Linked DNA regions of Coturnix japonica. The protein of the gene in region 1 purifies or fractionates together with the protein of each later gene. This does not show direct contact. Links are inferred from orthologs where the notes say so. Each region holds a gene or a part of one and is shown on either strand. Other genes may lie near its edges.

The links.
Region 2: the proteins of IRF2BPL (region 1) and VGLL4 purify together in Homo sapiens (affinity purification with mass spectrometry; 3 studies listed by BioGRID and IntAct, counting the BioPlex papers as one, with this or other methods). This does not show direct contact. The link is inferred for Coturnix japonica from reciprocal best matches to the Homo sapiens genes IRF2BPL and VGLL4.

What each region holds. Positions count from the first base shown.
Region 1 is NC_029520.1:35,383,880-35,388,278, reverse strand, and holds the start of IRF2BPL (probable E3 ubiquitin-protein ligase IRF2BPL), read left to right. Parts: upstream 1-1,515; 5' UTR 1,516-2,127; coding exon 2,128-4,353; 3' UTR 4,354-4,399. UniProt on the Homo sapiens protein: Probable E3 ubiquitin protein ligase involved in the proteasome-mediated ubiquitin-dependent degradation of target proteins. Through the degradation of CTNNB1, functions downstream of FOXF2 to negatively regulate the Wnt signaling pathway.
Region 2 is NC_029527.1:2,958,167-2,961,969, reverse strand, and holds part of VGLL4 (transcription cofactor vestigial-like protein 4), read left to right. Parts: intron 1-1,491; coding exon 1,492-1,714; intron 1,715-2,760; exon of another isoform or gene 2,761-3,134; intron 3,135-3,220; exon of another isoform or gene 3,221-3,299; coding exon 3,300-3,420; intron 3,421-3,803. UniProt on the Homo sapiens protein: May act as a specific coactivator for the mammalian TEFs.

The DNA.
Region 1 (4,399 bases):
GCTCCGCGCGGCGAGGGAAAACGGCGCCGCTCCGGCCACCTCCGCGTTCTCAGCGGGCCCGAGCTGTTCCCGCAGCTCCGCTCCGCTTCTCGTGCGAAGATCGGCACGGGGCGGGACGAGGGCAGGACGGGGGGCCGACCTCGCGTGAGCTGCGGCGAGCGGAGGTGACCCGCTCGGTCAGGGGGAGGCGTGCGGGAGCTCAGCCCGGCGGCTGCCGGGAGCGCGTCCTGCCCGTGTGCGGGGGCTGCGGGCTGCGGGCTCACAGCTCCGTGTGGATCAACGCGTTACAGCTCAGCTCCTCGGGGAGCCGGATCCGCGCCGCCAGCCCCGTGTGCGCGTCTCGTGAAGCTTCTCCTTTAACACAGCTCCCCTCACACACGTTTCAAATTCGTTTGCCAGCTTCGTATATTATAACCGGACGCATATAAACCGCTTTAGATAACTAAAAATGGAAATGAGACGCAGTGGCGATACGAAAGGAATTATTTAAAGGAACAACTTTTCGTCACGTGAGCCGTGGAACGTTATTAGCCGGGCACGAGGCAGCTTTGTGCTCGGGTCTCAGGCGCCAGTCAGCGGCCGCGCGTACGGGAGCGTGCGCTCGCACGCATCGCTGTCCGGCCCCGGCGCAGCCCCACAAATCCCGCAGCGCAGCGCAGCGCGTTGCCGCGCCCCCAGCGCGGTTCGGGGGCAGCTCCGCGGCCGCCCGGCGCGGCGGTGGCTCCCGGGTCGCGCTGACGCGGCGGGGGCGCCGTGCCCCTCGCGAGCCGCGGGCCGCGCCCGTGACGCAACCGCGCTCCCGGCACGAGCGGCGCCGCTTCGCGCGACTCCGGCGTCCGCCGCGCCGCTCCGCCCACGGAGCTCGGCGGGGAAGGGCCGGCCCCGTTTGTGTTTCGCTTTCCCCCCGCCGTTAACGTTCCGCTTCTTCGCGTGGAGCGGAGTCGATGCGAGCGCTCTGCCCGGTGGCGGCGTTACGCGAGCATCGGCGGCCGGTTAAAGGGGCAAACGGCCGCGCGTTTCGACGGCGCGGGGGCAATCCTCGTCCTCCCCGCGTGAGCATCTCGGCGGTCCCTCGCCCGCCGCCCCGCCTTACACGGCACCGCGGGGTCGCACACGCGGCGCCGCCGGGGCACGCGGGACCCCTCCGGCAGAGCGCCGGGCGCCGGCGGCCTCACGCCCGGCAAACGAGAGTGAACCGAGAAGGCGCGGCCCCGGAGCGGCGCGCACGCACGCGGCCGCGGCGCGGAGAGGCGCTCCCCGCCGCCGTACCCCGCGGCCGGGCAGGGCGCCGGGCATGCGTGCTACGCGCAACAAGTGGATGCGCGGCGCGGGCGGAGGAAGGCGGCGGGGGAGCGGGGCGCGGAGCCGGGTCGTGACGCGGGGCCCCGCCCGGGCGAGCCGCCCCGCCCCGCGCCGAGCCGGGCAGGGCTGAGCCATGCTGGGCTGAGCCATGCTGAGCGGAGCCGGGCGCGCGGAGGAGGGGCGGCGCGGGGGGAGCGCGGCGCGGCGCGGAGGAGGGGGCGCGCGGGCACGGCGGCGGCGGCGCGCGGTAGCGCGCTCGGACTGCGAGACGGCGGCGAGGATGTGAGTGAGGAGCAGGCGGCGCCGCTCGCCACGCTGCTGCCGCTCCGCCGCCGCTCGAGGAAGTCGCGGCGCTCCGCCCGGGTGCCTCTCGTCGGCGGGACGGATCGGATCGGTTCGGCTCGGATCGGCGCGTAGGGAACGGAGCGCGAGCTCGGCGGGCGGCCGCGGCGGGTGGAAGGTGACCCCCTCCCCCCCCCCCCCCCCCCCCCCCCCCCCCCCCCCCCCCCCCGTCTTCCTCCGAGCACCTCCGCCTCCTCCCGGAGGAGGAGCAGCGCCGGAGAGGCAGAGAGCGCCGGGAAACAGACGCGGCGAGAAGGCGACCCCCGCCCAGCCCCCCGCGGCAGCGGCAGACGCCGATCCCCTCCCCGCCGGGGCAGCAGCGCCGGGAGCGGGCGGCGGCGGCCGTCCCCGGCTAACAGCGGGCGAGCCTCGGCCGCGAGCGGCGCCCGGAGCGGGTACGGACGCTCTTTCCAGCTCCGGCCCGCGGGGGAAGAGCGAGGCGGCCCCGACAGCGGCGGCGTCGGCTCCCCGGCCAGCGGCACCATGTCCGCCGCGCAGGTGTCGTCGTCCCGGCGGCAGTCGTGCTACCTGTGCGACCTGCCCCGCATGCCCTGGGCCATGATTTGGGACTTCACGGAGCCCGTCTGCCGCGGCTGCGTCAACTACGAGGGAGCCGACCGTATCGAGTTCGTTATAGAGACGGCGCGGCAGCTGAAGCGGGCGCACGGCTGCTTCCAGGACGGCCGTTCCCCGGGCCCCCCGCCGCCCGTCGGCGTCAAAGCGGTGCCGCTCTCGGCCAAGGAGGCGGCGGCGGCGGCCGCGGCGGCCCAGCAGCAGCTCAACCATGTGGACGCGTCCTCCAAGGCGGCTTCGGGGCTCTCCCAGTCGGGCCTGGAACGCTACGGGCTGAGCGCGGCGGCGGCCGAGCAGCGCGGCCGCTTCGAGTACCCGCCTCCTCCGGGCAGCCTGGGCGGCGGCCACGGCGCCCGCCTGCCCAACGGGCTCGGGGGGCCCAACGGCTTCCCCAAGGCGCCCGAGGACGGCCCGCCGGAGCTCAACCGCCAGAGCCCCAACTCGTCGTCGTCGTCGTCCTCCTCCCGCCGCGGCGCGCACGGCGGGCTGGTGTCCGGCCTGCCCCCGGGGGCGGCGGGCGCGCAGCTCAACGTTCCCCCCAACCTGCTGCCGCAGACCCTGCTCAACGGGCCCGCCGCCTCCGGCGTGGCGCTGCCTCCGCCGCACGGGGGCCTGAGCGGCCGCGGCGGCGGCGGCCCCCAGGCGCCCTCCGCCTCCTCCCAGGCGGGTGCGTGCGGCGGCGGCGGCGGCGCCGGGGGAGGCGGCGGCCCGGCCCCGGAGGGCTGCGGCAAGCGGCCGGGCTCGGTGTCCAGCAGCGACCAGGAGCGCGAGCTGAAGGAGAAGCAGCGCAACGCCGAGGCGCTGGCCGAGCTGAGCGAAAGCCTGCGGAACCGGGCCGAGGAGTGGGCCAGCAAGCCCAAGATTGTGCGGGACACGCTGCTGACGCTGGCCGGCTGCACGCCCTACGAGGTGCGCTTCAAGAAGGATCACGCCCTGCTCGGCCGCGTTTTCGCCTTCGACGCCGTCTCCAAACCGGGCATGGACTATGAGCTGAAGCTCTTCATCGAGTACCCCAGCGGCTCCGGCACGGTCTTTTCCAGCGCCTCCGGCGTGGCCAAGCAGATGTACCAGGACTGCATGAAGGACTTCGGCCGCGGCCTCTCCTCGGGCTTCAAGTACCTGGAGTACGAGAAGAAGCACGGCTCCGGCGACTGGCGGTTGCTGGGGGACCTGCTGCCCGAGTCCGTGCGCTTTTTCAAGGAGCTGGTGGGCGCCGACATGCTGCCGCAGCCGTACCTGGACGCCAGCTGCCCCATGCTGCCCACGGCGCTGGTGAGCCTCCCGCGGCCGGGGGCCGGCGCCGGCGGGACTCAGGGCGCGGCCGCAGCCTCCCGGGGCCCGGGCGGCGGCGGCGGCGGCGGGAGCGGGGCCATGCGCAAGAGGAAGGCGTCCCCCGAGCCCTCGGACTCGGCCGAGGGGGCCCTGAAGCTGAGCGACGAGCAGCAGCGGCAGCAGTGGATGGCCAGTCAGAGCGAAGCCCTCAAGCTCACCATGTCGGCCGGGGGCTTCGGGGCGGTGCACGGCGGGGGCCCCCCGCCGCCGCCACCGCCGCCCCTCGGGCCCCACTCCAACAGGACCACGCCGCCCGAGTCCGCCCCCCAGAACGGACAGTCCCCCATGGCCGCGCTCATGTCGGTGGCCGACACGCTGGGCAATGCCCACTCGCCCAAGGACGGCAGCTCGGTGCACTCCACCACTTCTACCCGCAGGAACAGCAGCAGCCCCGTGTCGCCGGCCTCCGTGCCGGGCCAGCGCCGCCTGGCCTCCCGCAACGGGGACATGAACCTGCAAGTGGCCCCTCCTCCCCCCAGCGCCCACCCCGCCATGGACCAAGTGCACCCCCAAAACATTCCGGACTCCCCCATGGCCAACAGCGGGCCCCTGTGCTGCACCATTTGCCACGAACGCTTGGAGGACACCCACTTTGTTCAGTGCCCTTCGGTGCCCAGCCACAAGTTCTGCTTCCCCTGTTCCAGAGAGAGCATCAAGGCCCAGGGGGCGACCGGCGAGGTCTACTGCCCCAGCGGAGAGAAATGTCCCCTCGTAGGTTCCAATGTGCCTTGGGCGTTTATGCAGGGCGAGATCGCTACCATCCTAGCCGGGGACGTTAAAGTGAAAAAGGAGAGAGACCCTTGAGTAGGAAATCCGATCCCTTCAGGCTCCTGAAGATGTAGAATTGTGA
Region 2 (3,803 bases), on another chromosome or scaffold:
GGTGTGCTATTCATGAACTTCCATACTTGCTTAAAAGCTTATGTTCAGTTAATGTTTTCTGTACTGTAATTTAAGATGAGGCTACTGTGCTTTAAATATAGAATCTGTTATACAGCCATTAAGTCACACATTTGCATGTCACTGGCTCAGAGCAGTGCAATCCTAAACTTGCTTCCTTCTGAATGCCAATCTGTGGAGTAGGTTGTGAGCTGAAATGGTAGCAGAGCTGGCATGGGACCGAGATGTAACACTGGGAGAATGTATTTCCTGGTGGTGTGTGGCTGCTTTGTCAGATCTAAATCCGGCCTGTAAAGGAGTATTCAAGAAACACTTGGTTTTCAGAGGTCATCTTGAGCACTGGCTGTGGAACCATACAGGTTAGGCTTTGTGGTTGATTTCAATCATCTACAACTACTACTTTGTAATTAATTAGAAGGGATACGTGCTTTCCAGCAGGGCAGGGATCTGAACAGTTAAGAAATAGTACGATTTGTCCCTTGGCTGTTCCCTTCTATTGGGCTAAAGATGGAATTATCCAGCAAAGGTTCTGTTCCTGAATACAGGAGAGATCTAAACCCTCATTCTGAGCATGTGATGGCTTTCCTGGTTCTTGTGTAGAGGGACCACAGGTATGGGAAGAGTTCTGAGGAAAATTAAGTAGTTCCCTGGAGAAAAAATAGTTGAGAGAAGCAAGAATAATTGGTGGTGCAGCTCACTGTGAGCCAGTGGTTGGCAGGTGGCTGGGAGTGACGTGTGGGTGAAGCTCCTTTGCTTGCTTCACTGCCTTCCTGTAATGAAGATGTGAGTACTGCCCATACACCAAGTGTGGTGTAAAGTGAAATATCTCATACATGAGTACAAAATCAGCATTGCTTTAGTTGCAGTGAATGAAAACTTGATTGTGTGAGCGTGTCCGCTGAGAGCTGCTGTTCAGCAGTGATTTGAAATCATTCTTTTGAAGATTCATGGTAATTAAATGGTTCTGAGATGTGTAGTTTGCTTCTCTTTCATTTTCTGCTCTGAAAATTGTGCTTCCTGCTCTGAATCACTGAATTTTGCTGTTACCATCCCCTGTCCTTTGGCTATATATATTTTTGGGCTTCAGCAGTGCTTAGGGAATATTGCAGTGTCAGGGGGCAGAGTCCCATTTATAGTATAACAAATAAGGAGGTGTCTGATCATAACAGAGACCAGTTATTATCAGTTGTTACTTTAACTCAGTGCATTTAGAAAAGCTTCTTAAGACATTCCAGAAATTCTGAAGAGTTCTGAAAATCAATGTTGGTTGCCAGAGTTTGCAGGTGTGAATCATTTTCTTGCCTTTGTTGGGAGGTGGCTGGATAGAGCAGGGTACCTCACCAAGGGATGCTGTACCCCTCCCAAGCAAAATGCACCACCTCACATTTCTTAAAGGGATTGAATGTAGCGTATCTCACTGTAGCTTCTAAAAACCAGTAAGTTCTTCAACTTTTTTTCTTTTTCTTCTATTAGAAACAAGACTGCCAATGGAGATTATCGAAAGGAGCACAGAGAGAGGAGTCGCAGCCCGATAGAGAGGGCTGCTGCCCCAACCATGAGCCTTCATGCCAATCACATGTATGCCTCAATCCCAAGTCTGACCATGGATCAACCTCTCGCACTGACCAAAAACAGTATGGATGCAACCCGAACAGTTGGCATCACACCTACACTGACTTCTGTGGAACGGCAGCAGGTATTGGCTTCTGGGTCGACAAGGAAGTGGGGGGCTGTAGAAATCCTTGCTGTAGACACAGTGAGGACTTCCCAGACATAAGCAGAACATATTGTGAGTTACAGTAGGTTGGCGATACCATTCTTTAGGCAAATTGTATTTTAAAAAACGCATGAATTAAGCACACTGAGCAGTGTATTTAATGTGAATTAAATTCCTGGTGTTCAGATGCATCTGTCAGACTTCTTAGCCATGCTGCTTCTTCTGACGCTTTGCTAAGCTTGTGAACACGTGTTTGAATTGGGAATACAGAGTCGGTGTTGCTGCAGCTAAGTGAGGCTCTGGTACCTGTCAGGCAGTAACTGATGCAGTGCATACGTAGAGGGCATTTATATGTGCTCCCACTGGCAATCAGTGAGTGCTTGGACTATGATGAACTGCAGTGTTGAGAACTTAAGACTGGCCTGTATACCCAAGCTCTTCCTTCCTTCCTTCCTTTTGCCCCTCCAGTGATGCACTGCAAAGGGTAAACACTTGGAATGGATGATCTCTCCGAGGCTCAGATTTTTTATATGCAATTTGTTGAAAGCTTTTTTTCCCCTGGAGCGTGTGCTTTACCTGCTGTGTACATTTTTACCACAGTTGGCTACATACACTGGTCTACGTTTTGCCACGCCAAGATGCCTGGCTCTACACCAGTGTCAGTCTCTTGCATCATTCAGCACAGCTCACACAGTTATCGTTCTGTGCAGAACAGCTTTTCTTTGCCCTCAGCGTTCAGTGATGACAGAGGAGGAAGGGACAGGCTGCCAATGACGCCACTGCTGCCCTTTGATAGCATGACTGCTGCTTCTCAGCTTGGCAGCTAACAGCGCTGACACTCTTCTATTATAGCATTTGGCTTGGGCTGATTCCTATTACCCATCAGCAGATTCCCTTCTATTTTATCATCTTTGATAACTTTGAGCTACATTGCAGTCTTCTTTCTTGAGGAAATAGGATGTTGAGGTAAGAAGTGGCTAAGATCGCAGAGTAGAAATGGTACAAAGGAAAAACAGCGTATTGAATGAAAGCACAATTTATTTTTCATGTTGCACATTGAATGGGATTTTATCTTACTGTATGTTGCTGACAGAGAGGAGAATACAATAGCTTTTGTTTTAGGTGGTGTGCAGGTATTCAGTTGCAGTAGCTGCTGTTTTTACATTCTCATCTCCTCATCCCAGTGTTTTTTATATACATTGGCACAGTCTGCTCGGTGCACCTGCACAGGCAGCATCATGCCAGCGGGATCTGTGCGACGCCTCTTGTTTTTGGCAGTGGTGAACACATTCCTGAGACCAGCTCTCCTACTACTTCTCTCTGCTTCTCATATCTTGCATGTCTAAAGAAGCATGCACACATTCCTTGCACTGCTCCACAGATGCACATAATGTTTGCCCTTAAGGAAGTTAAAAAAATTAAGAAGTGCCACATGTGAACTGCTTACAGAAAAATGCAAATAAATAACCCCTTTTCTTTATTTACCTTTTGACTTTGCTGTCCATGCAGTAGGATGTGAATGGCATTCAGACTGATTGAAGGCTGCCTTTTCTCTCCCCATTAGAACCGACCGTCCGTCATTACGTGTGCGTCTGCCAACAACCGGAACTGCAACCTCTCTCACTGCCCCATTGCTCACAGTGGCTGCGGTTCAGCAGTGCCTGCCTACAGAAGACCCTCTAGCAGTAAGTCACATCTCAGCACTCTCACTAACTGCCTGATAAGAGCTGGAGAACATTTCCTCACTAACTTCAGCTGTGTAGGCTTTGGTGTATTACTAAGAATAAAGTGAGGTGAAACAACAGGCACCCCATTCTGTATCCTTTCTACCAGAGGCACACATGCAACTGCGCGTCTTCTCACTGTCAGTGCTGTGCCAGGATAGAAGATACCACTTCAAAACTAGAGAGTTGTCCTTTTCTCTTATTTTGAGAAGTATTGACAAGTAAGTCATTACATTTATTGCAGTCTAACTAACAAACAGCAAGCAGAAGTGAGCAGCAAATCCAGCCATGCTCTCACTGCATGTGCCGTACTTCCCAGCCTTTCAGTCGTCAGTCACCATCCA